Linked DNA regions of Alligator mississippiensis. The protein of the gene in region 1 purifies or fractionates together with the protein of each later gene. This does not show direct contact. Links are inferred from orthologs where the notes say so. Each region holds a gene or a part of one and is shown in the gene's direction. Other genes may lie near its edges. The genes, in order: EIF2B1, EIF2B5 and EIF2B3.

Evidence for each region.
Region 2: the proteins of EIF2B1 (region 1) and EIF2B5 purify together in Homo sapiens (affinity purification with mass spectrometry; 7 studies listed by BioGRID and IntAct, counting the BioPlex papers as one, with this or other methods). This does not show direct contact. The link is inferred for Alligator mississippiensis from reciprocal best matches to the Homo sapiens genes EIF2B1 and EIF2B5.
Region 3: the proteins of EIF2B1 (region 1) and EIF2B3 purify together in Homo sapiens (affinity purification with mass spectrometry; 7 studies listed by BioGRID and IntAct, counting the BioPlex papers as one, with this or other methods). This does not show direct contact. The link is inferred for Alligator mississippiensis from reciprocal best matches to the Homo sapiens genes EIF2B1 and EIF2B3.

What each region holds. Positions count from the first base shown.
Region 1 is NC_081833.1:5,958,618-5,965,777, reverse strand, and holds the start of EIF2B1 (translation initiation factor eIF-2B subunit alpha), read left to right. Parts: upstream 1-4,086; 5' UTR 4,087-4,145; coding exon 4,146-4,170; intron 4,171-4,241; coding exon 4,242-4,343; intron 4,344-4,567; coding exon 4,568-4,704; intron 4,705-4,778; coding exon 4,779-4,895; intron 4,896-5,718; coding exon 5,719-5,831; intron 5,832-7,016; coding exon 7,017-7,085; intron 7,086-7,160. Other genes in the region: GTF2H3 (general transcription factor IIH subunit 3), read right to left, coding at 362-436, 526-554, 1,344-1,373, 1,704-1,766, 2,110-2,273, 2,881-2,987, 3,840-3,992.
Region 2 is NC_081830.1:83,911,022-83,918,435, reverse strand, and holds the start of EIF2B5 (translation initiation factor eIF-2B subunit epsilon), read left to right. Parts: upstream 1-4,338; 5' UTR 4,339-4,362; coding exon 4,363-4,533; intron 4,534-7,414. UniProt on the Homo sapiens protein: Acts as a component of the translation initiation factor 2B (eIF2B) complex, which catalyzes the exchange of GDP for GTP on eukaryotic initiation factor 2 (eIF2) gamma subunit.
Region 3 is NC_081828.1:2,180,274-2,187,951, reverse strand, and holds the start of EIF2B3 (translation initiation factor eIF-2B subunit gamma), read left to right. Parts: upstream 1-4,650; 5' UTR 4,651-4,671; coding exon 4,672-4,746; intron 4,747-7,216; coding exon 7,217-7,373; intron 7,374-7,678. UniProt on the Homo sapiens protein: Acts as a component of the translation initiation factor 2B (eIF2B) complex, which catalyzes the exchange of GDP for GTP on the eukaryotic initiation factor 2 (eIF2) complex gamma subunit.

The sequences.
Region 1 (7,160 bases):
AGCTCTTGAACTCTAGTGTGTATTGCATGTTCCAGCCTTCCTCCCCACCAAATGGCTAGGCAAGGACTGATGGCTGAAGCTTATCCAACGTACCACATATATAAGATGTAGGAAAGTGGGGTCTGGACCTCAGTAGCAATCTTGGGCAGACCTGGTAGCCTTTTTGTGTTATAGTGCAATGACATGCACCTACATTTAGCTCAAACACTTTCTCCCTGAGGGTGAAGATGCTCACCTCTCCCAAAAGATCCCATAAACTAGAAGCACATAATGCAACAGTGACAATCTTTTTATGTTTGAGTGTGTTGATATTGAAAAAAATACCCAAATAGTTAACCACCTGATAAAACAGTAACTTCACCTGTTTCTGTGCTGCAAAGATCACATTCATGAAATTCATATACTGCAATGCACTGTCTTCTGCAGCTTTTATAACCTGAATAAAGCAAACAACAACCATTATTGCACAGACAAGACTACTGGATTTTAAAGCCGTTTAAGACAACTGAAGGCAAAAGTTCTTACCAAAATTCTTGATTTTATTTCTTGGTTGGCTACATATTGGAGACATAAAAAAAAACATGCATTAGTATCCCATAAGTATGCGATTAACCACCAGTATTCTGTCCTCCTAATTCTACATTTTAGTTTAACACCTGAATGAAAGCAAGAGACTGTTTTTAGTCATACTAAGACCAAATATGAGAAGATGAAGCTAAACCTCTAGCAGAAGTCACCAGAATAAATTCAGAGTTGCTGTGAAAGTGGATACTGTCACATTCATTCCTAAAAAGCAACTGGATGATGAAGAACAAAGACAATTTCAGTGTGGTTCACTGTCAGTTTACTCGGTCAAACAGAGACTGGATCACAGGTTTTTAAAGCTGTTCTGATGGTACTTTACACCACTTCTCTGTAAAGCTAAATAGAGAGTTTACTTTAAGACTGGTTTACATAATCAAGCCACAGAATACAAGCAGCAGTATCCAAATTCATTTTTGAAACTGTTGAGTATAAAACTTGAATCTGAAGGGTAGACGGTAGTGTAGTACTTTGTAACTGCCGAATTCAAAGTTTTGCTCTACATGTGGAAAGATTTCCCTCTCCTTAGAGCTGACCTTCTGTGCTTGGTTTTAAAGTTCTAACATGTTTGCTAAAGCCATACAATTCTTGCATGTTCTTTCCTCGTCTACCAATCTGCAGTCAAAATTCAATTTGTACACCTGTAAAAGATTGGGACAAACCCTTACTTCTCCACTATAGCCAGCTAAGAAAAGCTCTGCATTTTTTCCTCCTCTTAATTCTAACACTCAGAAAAATATGCAAACAACAGAAAAAAGTACCTTTTACCTCCTTGGTCAGCCTGTGAATATCTGTATTAGCTTTTATTCAGGAAATAACATTTTATTCTAGGAACACTTGAGAAACAGATGTATAAGTCGTTTAAAACAACAAAAGAGAGGAAATATGATACCTGCAATAAACAGTTTAACCAACATGCACAACTTTACCAGAAGTTCAGCTCTCAAGCTATGATATTCAGAAGTCAGAACTGAAAACAAAAACATACTGGGGTTAAGACTACTACCAAGAGAGTGCAAGGTTTCTGGTAGCAATATGGGTCCAGCACAAGAAAGATTTTCGCATGTATTTATTTTTTTAAAGAGAAAGATATTCTAAATGGGAAGTTATGGGAAGGATACAACAAAGTGCTTTGGCAATTGATCCTGCCAATAAAGTTTCTGTTTGTTGGCCCTTCACGTCAGCTGTAATATAAAAATGCACAGAACTGGTTATTGAATAAAGTCATTCCCTTATCTAATGCCATACAGTTCATTCGATCAATTTTTCCTGGACAAAACATTAAAGGCTGGCTCTAAAAGTGCTGAACTTCTCAGCGTCTCATTGGCCTTAAGCACATTCTCATAATGAAAGGGGAGAATAAGCTTCAGAAGACAGAAGCAAAGGAGAGTCTATCATATAGTATAATCTCCTGAAGCATTTCCTTTGCATATAACATTTCAAAATAATACTTCCCCTCATCTGATGGCACTAAAAACTAAGCATGCTACAGAAACCACTACATTCTTTAACAGAAGATCATCTTACTTTTTGTCATGAGGTCTTTAATCTCCTCTGCAATTGTTTCATTTATTGCAGTTAATAATTCGTATTTTCCATCCTTGCTGCCAGCGCAATTAGATTCTACACAGCTGCCACCATCTCCAAAGAGATCTGCAAATGCCCAGCGCTTTCCAGGGTATAAGAAACGACTGAAAGAGAACCAGCAACACAGTATTTGCCTGTTACTTTAATAACAACTGAGTTACAACCACAAATTGAGCCGCTCATAGAAAGTGAAAGTCAAAGGTGACATTTCATTCTAAGCAATGGTCACCATGGAGTAAGGAGTCTTTTTAAAGCTCTACGCAGTGTAAGGATGTCCTGGTGGAAAGGCTCTCTGAGAGACACTCTGAGGAGAACTAGTCTTCAGACACTACCTGAATGCAGGGATCAACCTCCCGTTTCTTATTCTTAGATCAGAAAGTAGTAGTAGCTTTGAATGGAAAGGTCAGACAGGAAAACAACCTCCTTTTGTTCCTTTAGTGCAGCAATCCCCACTTCTCCAAAGCCTTAAAAACCTATACTGTTTTTCCACTTGTTTTTCTGTATTAGTCCCCAAATCCCTTCCCTGTCTGTTTTCACTCATTTTAATAGGGTATTTAAGCCTATTTAAAATAGGTCTAAATTTAAATTAAACATTATATATTTAAATCTGATGCCAATTATTCTTTGCAACACACCGAGCAAGAAATTCAGGCAAGAGACGTGGGTGGGAAATTATAACAGTAGTGATGCTATTCATAAAAGTTACCGTACCTTTCTTGTGTATGGCTTGCAATCACAGCAAGTCTGTTGTTGCGATTCATGAACAAGTGCGAATTCCCCATCACCATCACTGCATCCAGGCATTTTGACAACGTAAACTGTTGGGAAAACAGAAAAAGACAAGGCGCAATGCGTGAAGGAGCGAGGAAAACACGTGGTTTAGCACCATCACCATCTGAAACAAAAACACGCTAAACAAAGCACTCCCTCAAAGTAATGCCTTCCTCAGAGTTCGATATTCACAAAGGTGAGAAGCTGAAAGGAGGCAGCAAATTCCCTCTGAAGGACAGAAAGCATCAGTGACGCTCCAGAAATATGTAGCACTAGAACCATACGTGGATAGGGCTCAAAATCTTCAAAAAACAGCGAGAGAGATCAGTTATTCGCTCACAATAACTCTGGGAGGAGAGGAGAGCCGCGGTCGCGTAAGGGGATGCACGAATGTGTGTTTGAATCTCTGTTCAAGTCTCCTCTGTTCAACAGAGATGAGTCGAGCAGAGTTTCAAACACCCGTGCATCCCCTAACGCGACCGGGGCGCCCGACCCAAGAACAGCACGGCCTCGCTTCAGCCGTGCCGAGCCCCTGCAGCTTTTGGCGACTCCAAGCACACGCTCGAGCGCTCCACGCTCCTGACAACCGGGGCCGAAGGCAGCAAACCGCAGCACCCGACTAACGGGCGGATGGTAAAGGGTGGAATAAGCGACTGGACCGCAGGCGGGGAGAGGCTGTCGGCCCCGCTTTCAGCGCACACCGCCATTCCTGTTGAGACGGGATGTCCCGGTAAGGGGTGCCGGACCCCGGGGCCACCTCCCCGCACTGCAGCTGCGAGCGAGCCACCCACCCAAGGAGCGTTCCGCAGCCGGGAGCCCACGACGGGCGCCCTGGGGCCCGCACACGCGAGGGCAGGAGCTGAGGGCGCAGCCGCGTCCCCCGGGGGGCTGCCTCTCACCTCGCCGCCTCCCTGCGCCTTCTGCCCCCACCAGATGGGGTTGGCGTCCACGACCGCCACGAGCAGGCTCAGCTCGTCCTCTGAGAAGGCAACGGGCGTGAGGCCGGGCACGGCCGCGCCGCGGGGGACGGGGCACGCCCCGGCCAAGCTCATCCTGCCCGGCACGCCCGCCCCCCACCGCCGCCGCCACCACCACCACCACCACCACTTCCGGCGCCGCGCGATGACGCCCACCGCCCGCCACTTCCGGCGCCGCGCAATGACCGTCCCCCGCTACTTCCGGCGCCCTCCTGGTGTCACAAGGGGATGCGCGGAGCCATGGACCGAGCAGGTAGCGGGGCGCGGCGGGGCTGGGGGAGAGCGGGACCCGGGAGGCCGCTGAACCCCGCCTTTGCCTTGCAGCGCTGATCGAGGCCTTCAAGGCGCAGACGAGGGATGACCCGGACCTGGCCTCGGCCGTGGCCGCCATCCGCGCCCTGCTCGAGTTCCTCAAGAGAGACACAGGTGGCTGCCCCCCTCCCGCCCCGGGCGTATCCGCGCCGGTGCTAGCTGCTCTCGAGCAGGAGAACCGTGTGCAGTTGTGCAGGATCGGTCTGCGGTGGGTGGGTGGGTGGGTGGGGGGAGCTGTGATGTCCCCGAGGAGGGCTGCGCGCGCGGGGCAGAGCCGTCGGGGCGCCAGCCGGTGCCCTCGCCGCGATGCCCAAACCGCACCTCTCTCCCTCTCTCAGAGGAGACCATGCAGGGCTTCCGCGCAAACCTCAAAAACGCCATCGAAATGCTCTCAGGCGTCGACTCCTCAGTGGCCGTCTCCTCTGGGGGAGAGCTCTTCCTCCGGTTCATCAGCCTCACCTCGCTGGAGTACACGGTAAGAGCCCGCGGCCGCCGGCGCGGCGGAAGGGATTCCCAACCCTCACTCGCCATGCTCGCTGCTTTTTGCAGGACTACTCCAAGTGCAAAGAGATCATGATCGAGCGAGGGGAGATCTTCCTCAGGAGAATCTCTCTTTCCAGAAACAAAATCGCGAAGCTCTGCCACCCGTTCATCAAAGACGGTGCTGTAAGTGCAACGCGGGCGCTGCACCGGTTCTGGGGCTCCGCTGTTTGGGCAGGAGGCAGAAGGGGAGGGTGACCAAATCTTACTCCCTTGTGTTCAGGGTGATCGCATGATTTGATGTGGGCTCTCTCAAGTAAGGAGAAATAAAGTTTCCTGATCATCGTATTTTTGTTTGCATCACAAGTTCAGATCTTCCTGTGTTTCCTAAGACTCCCTTTCTCTGTCCTCTCCCTCCACCTTTGTTTCTGCGCAAACTGAGGTTGAACTTCTGGCCTGATGCTGACAACCAGATCGTCTCATTCAAGCATTGGAAGCGGTGACTTCTCGGTCCCTCTCAGTGCCAGGGTTTCTTGGGTGGTTGCTTGCAATAAGACATCAGTTAAAAAAAGTCAAGGTTTATGCAATGACTTGACGTGCCGTGCGCTGTAAAAACACTTCTGGGAAACCTACCATTAAGCTCTATTTCTAACTCGTAAAATGCTCACTTTTTATAAAAATCTCAGTAGGCACCTCAAGTACAGGTTTCCCTTGCCAACCGCTGGGGTTAGGTTCCTGAAAGTTCCCGCGGTTGGCAAGACAAAAGGCTTATGGGAAAAATGGCAGGTGGCAGGCTGATGCACAGCCACGGAAAACCATGGTGACTCAGAACTGTATACTGTGGTAGCCAAAATGGTGTATAGAATATTAAGCATGAATACTTAAAACCATGGTTGGCAAGGGAAACCTGTAACTGAAACCAATGCTTTAAAATACCTGTGCATAGTAAAGTAGCACAAGAAATCCTAACAGCCAGGCTTTCCTGAAACTCCATCTCTCCTTTTGACAGCGAATATTAACCCATGCCTATTCAAGAGTGGTCCTCAGAGTGCTAGAAGCAGCTGCAGAGTCAAAGAAGCGTTTCAGAGTTTACGTTACAGAATCACAGCCAGATCAAGCAGGGCAAGTACTTGTCACTACTCTCTTCTTGATTAGTAAAAGAAGTTAGTTTTAAGGTCAGTTCTCATTTTATCAGGAAGAAGCTTTTCCCCTTTTTTTTAAATGCTGCTAAAAGGCAACAACTGCTCTGACAAAACATTATGTCCTCCTTGAGAGGAAATGTATAAACACACTTCAGTAAGAACTGCAAGAAGCAATTCCAACATCACTAATGTTTGCAGAAAATTTACCAGAACTTTAAAAATTAACCATTGCTATGCAAACAGATTTCTGGCTTGGGTGGTTGCTTGCAGTGGTGCAGTCAATTTAAGATGTCAGTTAAAAAAAAACCAGAAAAACCTGAAGCAGTGATTCTTGTAACCATCAGCATCATAAAGTATTCAGCTGCATGTGGCACCCCACCAGACCAGCCCCAAGTGCTGGCTCCAGGGCTAGTTGGGGTCAGGCCCCAGGCCATTTGTGCATCCTTCAGCGAGCGTGGAGAACTGTCCAGTGGAGTAATGCATATGGTGCATACTCTGTGCCAGCCTCCTCTGCAACAGGCAGTGCTTACAGCACTGGGTTCAGCCTGCACACCACAAGCAGCACGAGCCCCAGAGCAGGGCTGGCACATGGTGCACAGGCTATACCTGGTCCATAGGCACACCACATGGCACAGAGGGCCAGCCCTGCATACTGACTCCAGCGCTGCCCCATCTGGACTGGTCCCAGAGCCAGTGCACAGGGTTGTTCTGATGCAGGTGCTGCATACAGCTTATGCCCCAGAGTGACCCCTGTGTAAATCCCATGACATCAGGTCCAGCTCCTATTGCAGACCAATTCTACCTGCTGTAGGCTGCATGTTTGACACCCCTGACTTAAATTGTGTGCAACTTATGTGTGATGCCTACAGCTGTTTAAGCTGAATGATTAGTGAGGAATCTTGCACCTTACTCTGTATATGGTCTATTTATTATCTCCCTTACAGTCAACTAATTCCCTTTTTGGTTCTCACCTGTTGTGTATTATCACACAACTTACTTCTTTAAAGCAGAATGATTGCATGTACAGAGGAAGGAGGATGTGGGAAGGTAGAGACCCACAGTTAGATTTCAGTCTTTCATATAGTACTTCAACTATATTAATTGTATTTCACCAGCACTGTCTTCCAAGAAAGCCTTTTCAACTTCATAAACATTATTTTCATAGGCAAAAAATGGCAAAGGCACTCAGCAAGTTGAACATCCCTGTTACCGTGATTCTGGATGCTGCTGTAGGGTAAGCTTATTCATTACCTTCATAGATATTAGGAAATCTCTTGTTCTTCTAGATCTCATTTTAGGAACAATGCCT
Region 2 (7,414 bases), on another chromosome or scaffold:
GACCTTCAGATCCTTCTAATGTCAGGCAGATGCTGGAAGAACAGCAGATGAAAGCTCTGGGAGGTGCAGGGGGTCTGATCCAAGCAAAGAGAAATGGCCTGTCTTGTTTCTAGGTTCTCCTTGAAAGCATTCTCGCCCCACACTGCTCATCTGACGCTCCGCTTTCTGCTAAGCCTGACTCATGCGTATACAACTCATCATGCCTGTACCTGGCAGTCCATTGCAGGGCAGACACTGAGTAGTGCTGACTGCTTCACTCCTGCCTCGTGACAGCCTTGGGAAAACTGCTGGCCGGGCTGATTTGTATGGTTGGGTGTTTTGGAAGGAGCCCAGTGAGCTATGAATGTCCTGGCCAACCCCCCACTGCCAACACAGCAATAGGCTTCATGGACTCCCTCCAAAAGCTGTTGTCCTGCAGCAGTCTGCTTGCACCTACCATGATGGGATTGGGGGAACAGTTAACTGGAGGAGTAGCAACAAGTTAAAAAGAAAGCGCTGGTGCACCAGAGCTGTTACCTCTCTCTCTATGTCTTTCAGGTGCTTACCCTTTGCCCTTTCCTGCACACCTTATCTTCCTGTCATCCAACCAAGCCACACTTTCTCCCAAAACCTCTGGTCTTCATGTCCTATGCATCTGTTTTCAGGAAGAACGTATTACCTCAATGCCATGTCTTGCCTCTTCCACTTGCTCACTTCTTAGTTGTCCATATTGAAAGCAGCAGGGAGTCTCCAGTGAAGCTCTGATTTCCTGCTGTGAGGAGCTAGCAGGTAAAGAGGGCAGACAAATGCAGTTTGCATCCTCTGCACCATCCCAGGTTTCTAGCAAACAACTCTGGGTTACAAGGAGGAACACTGATTTCAAAAAGCCGCTGTGACAGCAGAAGCATAACAGGGCAGCTCCGTACTCCAGGAAGCTGCAGTGCATGGGGCAGTGTCCACTGCCACAGCGCCGAGACAGTAGAGTATATTTTTGTGTCCCCCTCCAACAAAGCCAGTTCCTCTGGCTGCTGCCCCAGTTGCCCCTCCTCAGCACACTACTGCAGGACAGGAGGGTAGATGGAAAGTATGAAATCTTGGGAAAGTTCAAGAGAAAACCTGTCCAGCTGTGGAGATGCCTCAGATATCAATACTCATATAAATGCCAAGAACAGAAGGAACTTAAGGATCAGGTCTGACCTCCTGCATAGCTCAAGCCATACAATTTCACCCAGCGATTCCTGCATCGAACACTTTAATATGTGGGTGAACTAGAGCACATATGTTGGAAAGACATCTGGTCTTGATTTAAAGACATCAAGTGGCAGAGAATCTACCCTCTGTCAGTTGGGAAGCTGTTCTGGCAATTAATTATGCTCACTGTTAATTACTTGTGGTGTTTGTACCTTATTTCCAATTTAAATTTGCCTGGCTTCAGCTTGCGGAAATTGAATCCTGCTATGTCTTTATTTGCTAAACAGAAGAAACTTCTAGCCTCAGATAGTCTTTATCTGCACTATGATAATTATAGATGGTGAGCAAATTCACACTTAGCCTTCTCTTTGATCAGCAAAGTAGGTAGAGCTCCTGAAGAAGAATGCACTACATTTGAAAAGTTATCTAATTTCATCCCAATCATTCTCAACCAGGGTGCCACGGCACCCTGGGGTGCCTTGAGATCCTATCAAGGGTGCCACAGGGCACCACGCAATGTTAGTACTGTTAGGTGTGCAAACTTGATTCACAAGATAAACCCAGAGATTTCATTAGGAATCCATAGTGGTAAAAACATTCTGATCTGTTGTGCTCTTTCTGAGTCCTTTGCAACAGAAGAATGGCTCCAGTATCTTTCTGTGGTCAAAAAAAGGATCGAAAACTTAGAGCTGGCATTTTCCAAGGTGTGCCTGGAGTTCAGTGAGGGGGCCTTGAGTCTGAAAAGACTGAGAACTACTGGTCTATCCCAACCATGCTGTTGGTTCAATAAAACATGTCACCCACGAACACTCTTGCTTCTCGTGTTTCCAGGACCATTGTGGCTACGACATCACTTGATCTCCTTGGCCATGTCCAGATGAGTGCAGCCGTATGGTATGTGGTACACACACCACACATTTGAGAGTTTTCCGTGATGTTACTTTGCAGAGCAGGGGTGCGGGGGTTTGACCCCTGGAAATCCAAGGCTCAAAAAAGCCCATGCAGAAAAAAAGCAGGTTAGCACATTGACAACATGTGCCACCCAAAACCAGAGCCTGGCTGGTCGGAGTCACACTCCAGCTGCTGGCCAGGCTCCAAGCTGCAAGAGCAACATGGCTACAACTTCCCCAGCCCCCAAGACCCCAGATAAGGCTGCTGGGGCCGGCATAGTTGCTGGCCCCAGCCTCCCCAACTCCACCCAAAGTAACCTGCCATGCTGTGTGCTAGAGGGCACGTAGTGTTCCCCAGGGACAGCTAGCAGTGGCACAAGGTGTCCTGCTGCTGCTCCTTGTCCCTGGGCAACCAAATGCCTGCATTCATCTGGATGCAGCCTTTAAGTCTCTTGCTGTGAGGTCTGCCTTGCAGACCTTGGCTCATTCTTGTAGGGCTTCTCTGAACCTTCTCCTTTGTCAACATCTCATCTAAAGTGTGGAGATGTGTTAGCACAGCTGTGGTCCTGCACAGCTGAACTAGTAAAGCAGCCAGGACTAGAATAGTGGGAGATGCTGCAGGTACATACAGAAATATATTAGCAGGACTAGGCAGGGGATGTTCATGCCATGCTATTCTGTACCTTGCTATCAAGCTTTCATTTCAATGAACGAGCCCATGGGGGGCAGGGAGCATGTGCCGTATGGCAAGCTGTGTCCGAGTGTCCATGTGTGTGCGCACAAGTATATGGATGGACAAAGTTGTGTCTGTGTCTTGGCAAGTCTGTACCTAGGTCCACACTGCAGTAGAGATGTGACAGCAGCACATTTTGATGTACCTGAGCTCGCTCTCACCCACCTAGCTTGGATAGCAATAAGCAAGGCATATCAACAGGCACTTCAGTAAGCATTAGCGGCTACAGTAGATCCTCAGTAAGATAGCGATCCTGAAGTGCACAACGCAATATTTCACGGCTACTCTTCCCCATGCTAGCTAATACTAGGGCTGGTATGACTACACCTGCTCAACTGCCAGGTGAAGTCAGCTGCTGCTTACAAAAACTGATGTACCTCTGATATAGTTAGTCAGTAAGGTGCAATTCTGCCTTGCCTTCAACACCTGCTGCAATCATCCCTTTGGTAAAGCACAGATGTGCCCTGCATGCCAACTGTATTCCAGCAGCCACGTGTGGGCAGGACCGGACACAGGCATGGGCGAACTGGGACCCAGACAGAAAGGGGGCCCGAAGATGGTATTTTTCCCCCATCATCCAATTATTATCACCATTACCTTTGGTGAAGGGAGGCTTCGAGTGAGAGCAACAGGGCAAAAAACCCCGTTACACCCAGGGTTTTCGGCTGTAGCCGTGTTGGTCTAAGGACGCAGGCAGACAAGCTTCTTTGGGTGGATGTGATATCTCGTTAGACCAGCTGAGTAGTCGGAAAGAAGTTCTTTGCAAACTTTTGTGCACAAACACCCTTCTTCAGGCACGGGGGGTCTCTGCTGGTCTGAGATCTCCAAGGAGTGATCTAAAAGTGTAACAGGATGTCATTAAGATTGTAATTCCCACCTATTTGCAATCTCGTACTGACATCCCATCACACTTTTAGCTTCTTTCACTCCTTGGGCATCTCAGCCCAGCAGTCTCCCTCGGCCTGAAGAAGGGCGATTGCACCCGAACACTTGCAAAGAACTTTTCCCCAGCTATTCAGTTGGTCTGAAGTCAGACCCGGTTCACTCTCCCTTTCAGCATCCGCTCTCTGCCCTTGTGTGACCAGGCGAGAGGGACCTATGATCTGACCTAGGAAATGACAATTTTTCACTCATCAGCGCCAAGGCCCAGGGCCCTGTGCACCTGCTAGGCTGAGCAGGGGACTCCCCTTCAGCCCAAGAGAGAACGTAATTTTCTCACTGACATCCTGCCGCACTTGTAGCTTCTTTCACTAAAGAGCAAGCCTGGTAGCGCAAGGCGGAGCCCCACACAGCTCCTGGAGCCACGGGTCAGCTGCAGCACAGGACAAGGGCTGGAGTAATACCCCTGCGCATGCGCGGGGTAGCCCGGCTTCTGCCCGCTGCACTGCAGGCACAGCAAGTTGCTCTCTGCGCATGCGCTGCCTGCCCGGGCGCCCTCCACGCCGTCTGCAGCCTTCCTGCGCAGGCGCCACACTCCGACAGCCACGTGGAGCGTCTCAGCGCGCCTAGTGTGTCCGCGCCGGCTTGCCGTTGCTCCTTCCGGAGCGGGCCCGGAAGCGGAAGTGGCGGATGAGGCCGCGTGAGGAGATGGCGGCCCGCGGGCCCGGGAAGCGGGGCAGCGGGAGCGGTGGGGCGCGGGGGCCGGAGCCGCAAGAGGAGCCGCCGCCCCCGCTCCAGGCCGTGCTGGTTGCCGACAGCTTCAACCGCCGCTTCTTCCCCATCTCCAAGGACCGGCCGCGGGTGAGAGGGGCCGGCCGGGACACCCCTCCCCCCCCGCCCAGCCTCACCACCGGGCCCCGGCACCTGGGGTCCCCCCCGGCGCTGCCCTCCTCCGTGGGCCGGGGTGCGCGGTGACCCCATCCGCCACAGGGAGAGGCTTGTCCTAGCTGGGGGGGTGTTTCTAGTGGGGATCCTCTGGGGGATGCTCGTCTGCGCCCAGGGGCTCGTGTCTGCGGCCGCACGTGCGACGGGAGAAGACGCCGGCTTGGCTGTGCGCGGATGTCAAGCTCCCCGTGCTCGCTGTCACGCCAGCAGATCGCCAGCCCCGCCTCCCGAGGACCGGAGCGCCCAGACCGGCTTGGCGAGGACGGACTGGACGTCGCATGTGGAAAGCAAAGAGCGGGTTGCCGTGGGAGCTCCCTAAGGTGTAGCTCGTGCAGCATCTGAACGGAGAGAGACGTCGGGCTAGTCGACGAACCCAGGCTCGGGGCTTGTTCTGGGAGAAGCCCTGCCGGGAGTGGGCTGCTGCCAGCTCCCGCCCGGTCCTGCTGGGCCGATAGCCGGCGGCCTGGAGGAGCAGTTTTGGAGGGGGAAGCTGCCGTGATGTTTTCCACCAGGAAAACTTTTTTCTTCTTTGAGAGCCTATTGGTAGTATGGGAGAAGCCTCGGCATTTCAAACCTCAGGTGGCCAAAAAGGAGTTTGACTGCAGAGGGTTTCTTTCATAGATTTCATAGACATTAGGGCTGGAAGGGACCTCGCAAGATCATCATGTCCAGACCCCACATCATTTCATCACGTGCTGAGCCCAGCAGGTATAATGGTCCACGATAGAGAGTCCCCTGACTTGCTTCTGCAGCCATATGCAAAGCAAAACTCGGGGGCATCCAAACCCTAAGCCTCCAGGCTCAGGCCTCCATATAGGACGTCCGCCAAATGATTTGGAAGCGTCTGAAGCCCCAGGCGGGGATGGAGGATGTTTGCTGGTAGCCGGGCCTGCACGTGGCTCTTGAATGACACGGATTTGGAATGGGTTTGGCTGATTTGGCTTGGAACATGAAAAATGTCCCTAAAAAACTATCGTGGATATTAATAGTTTTTTTTAGTCTAGCAGAGAAAGGCATAGCCAGTGCCAGGGGCTGGAAGCTGAAGCCAGACACAAAATTAAATGATAAATAAAATGCATATTCTGTTGGTACAAGGGATTGAGCATTGGAACAAATGGCCAAGTGGTGGATTCTCCATTCCTTGAAATTTTCCAGCTGACTGGGTACTCTTCTGGAGGTGTGCGGTAGTCTTTTACCTGAACAGTCAGGGATGTAAATCCTGGCATCTCTAAGCTAAGGGTGCTGGATGACAGGGAAGGTATGGCAGGGGTCACTGTAGATCGGGGCGTCAAAGATGCAGCCCATGTGCTGGATCTGGCCCAGAGAGCCATGTTGTCCAGCCCCTGCTGCTGTCTGTGAGTCTCAGAGTGATCTACAGGGAACATGCAGGGCTCACTTGATAGCCTCATCTGCTGCATGCAGTGCCCACTACAGCTCTCTTCACAGAGTGGCCACCACGTGCAGCACAGCCTTGAAGCAGCCGTGTGCTGCTCTAGGACAGTTGCATGTGGTGGGGGCTTCAGAGCTGTGCAGCACGGCCGGTGAGTGGCAGGAGCAGGACTGCGCTGCACACGACGCCCGTCCCAGATCCAGAATGTGCGACTGGTCTGTGCGTCGGATCTGGAACGTATATCCCCTGTCTAGCCATGCATATCGCCACACTTTAGGCAAGATGTTAAGGCAGACCTCGCAGTGAGAGACCGAGTTCAAGTGATATAGCCGTGATGGTCCAGGAAATACTCAAGACATGAGTATTTTTGTGGGTGACGGTTTATTGGACCAGTTGCATGGTTGGGATAAACTAGTAGTTCTTAACCTTTTCAGGCTCAAAGACACCTTTGTATTAACGAAGCTGTGTTGGGACCCCCCACTGCTTAATTAGTAAAGAGGGGAAGGGTAGGATTGAAATCCATTAGCAGAGCCAGGACTAGCATAGTCAGAGATGCTGCAGGTCCACTGGTTGGGGCGTGTCTTGAGAAGGCGTTTCAGTTGGCTGAAGATCAGGAGAAAGTCCCCAAGTCTGATCTACCACCCTGGTCACACAGGTGGCAACAGCTCTCTGTGTATTGAAAGGTGAATTATCCCAACAAGCAGCATCCGTAATGGAATACCTCCATGAGAAACTAACTAAGGCCCGAATACGGATGACACAGGGGTACTCAGTTTGCAAACTCCCCATCCCAAGCATCTGCTACTGCCACTGTCGGGGACACGATACTGGGCTAGATGGACTGTTGATCTGACCCAGTACAGCACTACTTATATTCTTATGACAGGTACAAGTTGTTGGGTTCAATGTAGCAGTAACCGAATGACATTTAAAGGCCTGTAATATATAGAAGATCAGAATGGGTGATATAAAAGTTCCTTCTGGCCTTAATCAAGATCTGTAAGCTTTTGTTAAAGCCTTATTGACAGCACATGAAAAAACGAAGTACCCCAAAACAGAAAGGAGTTGCACAGGAGAGAACGTAAAGGAGGTGACACAGATGCATGGGAACTCGATTAGAAGCTCAATTTATGTTTAATGGAGGAGATTTTTAAAAGTTACTCTAACAGTGAACTAGTGGACAGTGTGATGCTGCCTTGCTTCTTTTCTAAGACCAGGAGGTTGGGGTGGAGGTTGATGTGCCAGCTTCTGAATTGCTGCAGAGGAAGTGGCTGTAGAATAGAAAACTAAGCGTGGAAATAATGTTGTCCGCAAACTAGTCCGTACAATGGTAGAGTAGTCCTTTGAGATCTTATTAGTTCTCAGATGCAAGCTGTAGCATATTAAAAAAGCATAATGCCCCTAAAC
Region 3 (7,678 bases), on another chromosome or scaffold:
ATCGGCCTGTGCTGTCCTGACCCACGTGATCCTAAGCTCTCGGCTGGGGGATGAGCTACTTATCCAGCACCCTTAGGAGCCAGCAGCAACCTGCTGCCCTCTGCTTGTCATGATGAGAACTGCTCCACTGTGTGTCATGGGCCCCGTACTGCAAAGGGAGACTCCCCTTCAATGGCAGGGGCTTTGGCAGCAGGGAGGGTGCAGTAGCTGCCCTGAAGCTTTGAGCAGCCACAGCCCAGCGGCAGCCAGAGGACAGGGCCAGCCTGGAGCCCCGTCACGGTGCTGCTGGCTGGGTCCTGGGTCAAAGTGGAGCCAGGCAGCCCCTGCCCAGTCGCTGCTTGCCTACGCGGGGTTTATCCAGGACCGTGGTCTCTCCTGCTTTGGCTCCGTGCTGGACCATCCGTGGACCTGTGTCCCTGGGGAGGACGGCCCCTTGTTGCCTGTCCTGCGCCTCTATTAATGTGACAGCAGCACTACACCTGTCTGCTCCGGTCAGCCCTGCCTCTGCCCCTCCAGCACAGTCTGCTCCTGCTGCCAGGCTGTGGGGTGAGCAACGGAGGGGCACTCAGGGCACCTGGGACCGTAATCCCAGCTCTGCCACTGCATTCCCTCATGACCTCAGGCAAGTCACTTCATCTTCTTGCATCTTTCCCCTCCCTGCCTGGGCTTTGAGGCAGGACCTCTGCTTGGTTCTGTGCTGCAGCCAGCGCCGGGGAGCTCCGAGCCAGGCGAGGGTTCGAGGGGCGGCCGTAGACCCCGCTCTGCCTGGTGGGAGCATTCCCCCTGGAGCGGATGGGCCGCTTTGTCGTCCAACTCCGGTTTGTGCCTCTCGCCCTTTCCCAGCTCCCCTCCCCTGCCGCATTCCCAGAGCTCAATGGACCGTGTCAGTCCCCACGGGCGGATCCAGCCCCCATGCTTGGCTGCAGCGGCAGCAGGGCAATTCCCACGCTCGGACGGGATGCACTGAGCTGGCGTGCATCCAGGGCCCAGGACACATTGCAGCGCCTGAGAGGAGGGGATGGGAGCCCAGTCAGGATAGATCCCCTGTCCCCAGTGTGGAGAGACGTCATTGGGAGAAGTGGGGGGAGAAAGGGGCCACGGCTGGCAGGCCTGCGCGGTGTGACAGGCATCGCTTCTCGGCCTCTCGGGGACTCAGATCAAGTGCGTGGCAGGAAAACGTCACTGGCAGAGCAGGGAGGCAGTGCAGAAAGGCTGTGGGCTCCCAGCACCGGAGGGGGCAAGCAAAGGATGGATGGGCACTGGTCAGGGATGATTAGGCACAGCGATGCCCATGTTTGACCATGGGGGTTTCCCAGGCTTCTGGGCTCTGCTGGTTGCTGCATGGGGCTGGGAGGGAAATTTTTCTCTTCCTGCTGCTCCATGTGTCAGGGGGGTTTAAGCCTCCCCCAGAGGCGCTGGGTGCTGCAGCCCAGGCTGGGGATGGGGCTGGGCTGTGCCAGTGTTCCTGCTGGCACCGACCCCGCAGGGTCCTGGCTGGAGGGTCTTGCCCCTGCACTCAGGCTCGGACCAACACTGCACTGGGGCAGGAAGGGATTTCCCTCCTGCTCAGACTGGTGCTCACTGGGGAGTTTTGCCTTCCTCTGCAGTGGGGGCATGGCCTCTGCTTGGGGTCTCTAGAGCATCTATGAACCCCCACTGCACTGCAAGTTTTAATTACCTCCGAGGGCCGTTATATCAGGGCAAGGGCATTGCCAGGCGGCCTTGGCGACTTTTGTCATGACATAATTTTGTGATGTAATTTTAGGTCCTGCCCCGAGGAGCTCCCAGCCTCAGAGATAGGGACGGAGCCACTTTGCTGGGCCAGGGGAAACGCAAGAGAGCTGGGAAGGAGCCTGGCAAGAAGGCTGGTGCATCGGGGCACCGCAAGAAGAGTGCGTGTGAAGCTGCTGGCTCCCACAGAGACTGGTACCGAGACAGCAGGGATAACGGCCGAGCAATGGAGAGGCAGGGCCAGCAATCAGAACCAGCCCCAGACTCTGAGGCTCAGAGCTCAGTTCTCTGCTCCGCTTCTTGGCTGACCCGTAGCAGGTCCTTTCCCCTCTCAGATCCCACCAAGCAGAAGGGGAAGAACAGCACATGCCCCCAGAAGGATATGTTCCTTGTTCTACAAACTAGGGGGTTTGCCCCAAGAAGGGCAGGCTCCAGTGCTGGCTCCACAGAAGGACTCAATGGATTTCACCTGAGCTGAGAGAGCCATGTGCCCCATGCTGGCAGCTCTGCCAGGACCTGAGTTTCCCCAGATCTGCAGCTGGGTCCGGAGACCGGGTGCTTTGTTTCTCTTCCTGAATGCACCTTGCTTCTCCAGCAGGACCGGCTGTTTGTGTCGTCTCACCAGAAGTGGCTGCACTGAGCAAGCTATGAAGTGCAAAGGAGACCTTGAATTATCCTTGTTGCCAAGAAGGCTACTAGCATCCTGGGCTGTGTTGGTAGGAGTGTTGCCAGCAGATGGAGGGCAGTGATTCTTCCCTCTATTCAGCACTGGGGAGGCCACATCTGGAGTCCTGTGTCCGGCTGTGGCCCCCCACTACAGAAAGGATATGCACAAGTTGGAGAAAGTCCAGTGGAGGGCAATGAACATGGTTTGGGGGCTGGGGGACAGGACTGGTGAGGAGAGGCTGAGGGAACTGCTCTCATTTAGTCTGCAAAAGAGAGGGGGATTGAATAGCAGCCTTCAACTCACTGCAGGGGGGTTGCAAAGAGGATGGGGCTGGGCTGGTCTCAGTGGGGGCAGACAACAGAAGGAGCAATGGGCTCAAGCTGCAGCAAGGGAAGTTGAGGTTGGATATTAGGAAAAACTTTCTCACAAGGAGGGTGGTGAAGCACTGGGACAGGTTACCCAGTGAGGTGGAGGAGTCTCCATCCTTGGAGGTTTTTAATGTCTGGCTCAACAAAGCCTTAGCTGGGAGAGTGTAGTTGGGGCTGGTCCTGCTTGGAGCAGGGGCTTGGATGAGATGTGACTTCCCGAGGTCCCTCCAACCCCCATTGTCTGTGATTTTATGATTCTACCTGCTGGGCTGAGTGATGCCTGTGGTGAGAATAAGGACCCAGATCCCGTGACCCTATGGGGTAGGCTGGAAAAGCATGCCCCATAGGTGCACCTGTGGGATTGGATCAGTAAAAAGGGAAAAGCAAAGCTGCTCAGTGCCAGGCCCCCCTACCCCCTGCACTCCCACAGCAGCTGGACATGTCTACTGAAACACTCAGCAGTGCAAGGAGTGCTAGGTAACCCCACCATTAGGCTTCAGAGTCAACCTTCTTTTTAGATGAGGGTACATTAGGCCAGACTCTACTTCTGCATCAGGCCATTTTCAGTGTCAGGAATTCAGGCTGCACTGGGTCTCATTCAGAATGTTTTCTTAGCTCTCACCAGGACTGGGGATGTGCTCTCTGCCTGAAATGCTCTCTTCCCAGAGGATGCATTTCAGCATGTATCAACCCAGCTGACAACAGAGCCAAGGAGCTTCCTCCCCCTGCCCGAGCCAAACCACTCAAGGATTTTCAATCTTCTAGTTTCGCTTATCCTGATGCTGTGAGAGAGTAGGCTCATAGCAGGTGTGTGACAGCCATCCCGGCTGCTGCATGGAGGCAACGGCAGGGTGACCCCAGGGTCTGCAGAAATGGCAGCAGCTTCTCCAGGCTCCTGCTTAACACCTCTGCTGGGGGCCTGTGATGTGTATCTTGGATGTCGAGATGCCCAGGCTGCCAAAGGAGAGGTCCAGCCACCAGGCCGGAGCAGGCACCTCAAAGCAATGAGCCAGTCGACGATAACAGGAGAGGAGAGGGAGACAGCCAAGCAGAACATGCTGCAGTTCTGGGACTGAAGACTGCCGGGAGTGAAGAGAGAGGTCCCATTAACACACTTGTTAAGAACTTGGTTCAGTTTTACGACAAACTCAATCACAGTATTTACTTGGGGAATAAAGTCCTCCGTACCAAGCAACGAGCATGTCACTGTTCCATTGAAAGCGGCAACAGCAGCCATGCATTCGCTCGAACCAAGCCTGTGTGCAGCTGTCACAACCTTTGGCTTCGTAATGGAGACACTTGATGATCTAAGCTCTCCGCTCCCACGTAAAATGCAGTCTCAGATCTCAAGAAGCTGCCAGCCCTCCCAGGGGTGGAGAAAAGTTTGAAAGCAGGAGCACAGCATGATGCTAACAGCTTGGGAAAGCACCTGACACTGCAACTGTACTTGCACCTTCTACACATGCACCTCCCCCCCACAAAATTAGCAATTGATACTTGAGCACTTGAGGAAACTGAGACCAAACAGTTCGGTTCAAAGGAAAAATCTGCCTTCCCACAACAGCAGCGTGTCTTGTTGGGGTGGCGCGTGGTATGCCAGTAAATACAGTGGGCACCCTGCAAGCAAGCCAGGTTATTCTGAAGCCCATCTCTGCCTTTTGCAGCCGGGGAGGCTTGGGGTCTGCTGCAATGCAGACCCTCACCCCTGCAAACCACCCCTTCCCTGCAGCCTGCCCCAGCTGCAGCCCTGCCTCTGCCCCATGGCAGCATCGATGACTCGGCGCTCCGCCCCAGGAATCTATGCCTCGGCGCTCTCTTCTCCCCCCTGGCAGCCCGGCTCCTGCGGCTCGGCGCTCCTCCCTGCGATCGATGCCTTCGGGGATCGGCGGGCAGCCCTTCCCGCGCATGCGCAGTGACTGTCGGCGCCGCCATTGCGGTGCTGTCAGTGAGGGGCGCAGGCGGCAGCGGCGGCGGGACGAGGTGAGGTGAGGGGAAGGGAGGGGGCGGCGGCGGCGGGGCCGGGCCGCGCGGGACGGGGGTGCGGGGCCGGTCCTCGGCGGCTGGGGCGGCGCCTGGCCGTGGCTCCGGTTTATTCGTCACGAGAGGTGATGCTGCGCTGCCGCCCGGCCGCCCGACTCCTGATAATTCGTCACTTCGGACAGCTCGCCGCTTCCTTCAGACGAATTAACCGCATTTAGATGCACACGAGTGTGTGTGTGTGTGTGTATAGACACACACACACCCATGCATGCGCACATGTACACATGTATATATGCACAAACACATATTCACGGCCATTTAGCTGCACACGTTTGTGTGTATAATGTGCACGTGCGTATGTATATACACATGCATGCACACATATACATGCACAAACATGTGTGTGCAGTTAGATGCACACGTGTATAATGTGCACGTGTATGTATATACGTACATGCACAAACATACACACATGCACATGCATTTAGATGCGCACGTGTGTATAATGTGCACGTGTGTATGTATATACACATGCATGCACACATGCACAAACACACATGCATGTGCATTTAGATGCGCACGTGTGTATGTATATACACATGCATGCACACGTGTATATATGCACAAATTCATGTGCATTTAGATTCACGTGTGTGTAATATGCACACGTATGTATATATACATACATGCACGCACACACACGTGTATATATTTACAAACATAGGCGCACACATTTAGATGTGTGCATATGTGTGCGCACGCACACACACGCACACACGTATGTGTATACATAGCACAAGCTTCCATGGACCCAAGGTCACGTCATCAGATGCAGCGGACGGCCGTGCAGAAAGCACAAGTGCTGAGAGATGCACAGATTTCATAGACGTTGGGGCTGGAAGGGACCTTGCAGATCATTGAGCCCAGCCCCCGCCCCAGGGGCAGGAAACCAGCGGGGCTCAAAGGATCCCAGCAAGATAAGCAGCCAAGCGTTTCTTGAATGAATGCAGAGTAGGTGCCTGCACCACTTCTGGGGGGAGTCTATTCCAGGCTTTGGGGGCTTGGACAGTAAAGAAATTTTTCCTTATGTCCGGCCTAAAACGGTCACGGAGGAGTTTGTGACCATTGGTCCCTGTTATCCCTTGGGGCGCTCTGGTGAACAGACGTTCCCCCAGATCCTGGTGCACACCCCTTATGTACTTATAAGCAGCCACCAGATCCCTCCAAGCCTGCATTTTTCCAGGCTGAAGAGTCCCATGGCTCGCAGCCTCTCATCATAAGGCCTGTTCTCCTGACCTCTGATCATGCGTGTGGCTTTCCTCTGCACTCTCCCAAGCCTCTCCACATCCTTCTTGAATTGCGGAGCCCAGAACTGGACGTAGTAGTCCAGCTGCGGCCTCACCGAGGCCGAGTACAGCGGGAGGATGACGTCCTGAGATTTACTTGAGAAGCATCTCTGGATGCAAGCCAGCGTTTTGTTTGCTTTACCAGCTGCGACATCGCATTGGTGGCTCATGTTCATCTTGTGGTCAACCATGACCCCCAGGTCTCTTTCAGCTGTGGTGCTAGCGAGCGTAGCACTGCCAAGCCTATAAGCATGTTGCGGGTTTTTTTTCCCTGAGGTGGAGTACCTTGCATTTTTCGGTATTGAATGTCATCAGGTTTGTATTCACCCACTTACTAAGCTCATGCAAGTCAGCCTGGATCACCAGCCTGTCCTCAGTTGTGGACTCTATGCCCCCAAAGTTTAGTGTCATCAGCAAACTTAGCCAGTGCACTTCTGACACCAATGTCCACATCGTTGGTAAAGATGTTGAAGAGAACCAGTCCAAGGACAGAGCCTTGGGGGATGCCACTGGTCTCGGAGCACCATAATGACTCGCTAAGGGTGCCACAGGGAGCTCCTTGCCATCAGCACTGTTGGCTGCATAGAGGCTTACACGCAATTCGCACAATGAACCAGAGGTTTCAAGTTGGGATCCAGAGTGTTGAAGAACTGTTCTGCCCTGCTGTGGGCCTTCCCCGTTCTTCGCCACGCAAGAATTGCTCTAGTATTTTTCTGTGGTCAAAAAACAAATGGAAGTTAAAAGCTGGCATTTTGTGAGGGGGCTGGAGTCTGAAAAGGGGGAGAGCCACTAACTCACCAGCCAAGTGTCATGGCAGTGAGGCCTTGCAGGTGGGAAATTGGGCTGTTAGTCAGTGTTACGCCCTTTTCTGGCACATTTGTACGTGGAGTAAGCTGCCTGCCATTTCATCGTGCGTCTCAGTGTTCTTGGCCTTAATTTCACATATTCGAGCACCTGGAGGCTCCCTGGTGAAATCTGCAGGGACAGAAACAGTGACTGGGATTTGTCGAGCTTGCATTCAGGTGATGCCCTTTGACCTGAAACGTTGTGATGTAATGCGGGTGACTGAACTAGGGGGAAGCATGTTCCCTGGGGTTAAGACTGCCCTGTGCTTGCCGTTTCAGGTTGCAAAGATGGAGTTTCAGGCAGTGGTGATGGCGGCCGGTGGCGGATCGCGGATGATGGACCTGACCTCCAGCATCGCCAAGCCCCTGCTGCCAGTAGGCAACAAGCCTTTGATCTGGTACCCGCTAAATTTGTTAGAGCGGGTTGGATTTGAAGGTGAGGAATTGCCAGTTGCTAAACAGTAGAGGTTGGGACCGGCTGTAGTTCTCTGCACAATACAGCATTTCTTGTGCCTTTTTCTGCTTTGCTTTAAAACGTACTGCCCCTTCCCTTGGGAGACTGGTCTGCAACCCAGCGAATATCACCTGCAGTAGTTCTTCCCTGGTATTCAGCCTAGATTTTCCTTCCCTTCCTTTCACCTCATTAAACCTCTTGCTAAATCCTCTTCCTTCTTGTTGTGACCATTCTTTGACCCCTTTTCAACAGTAATTTCCTCTTTCCTTACTTCCTTGCTCCACTTA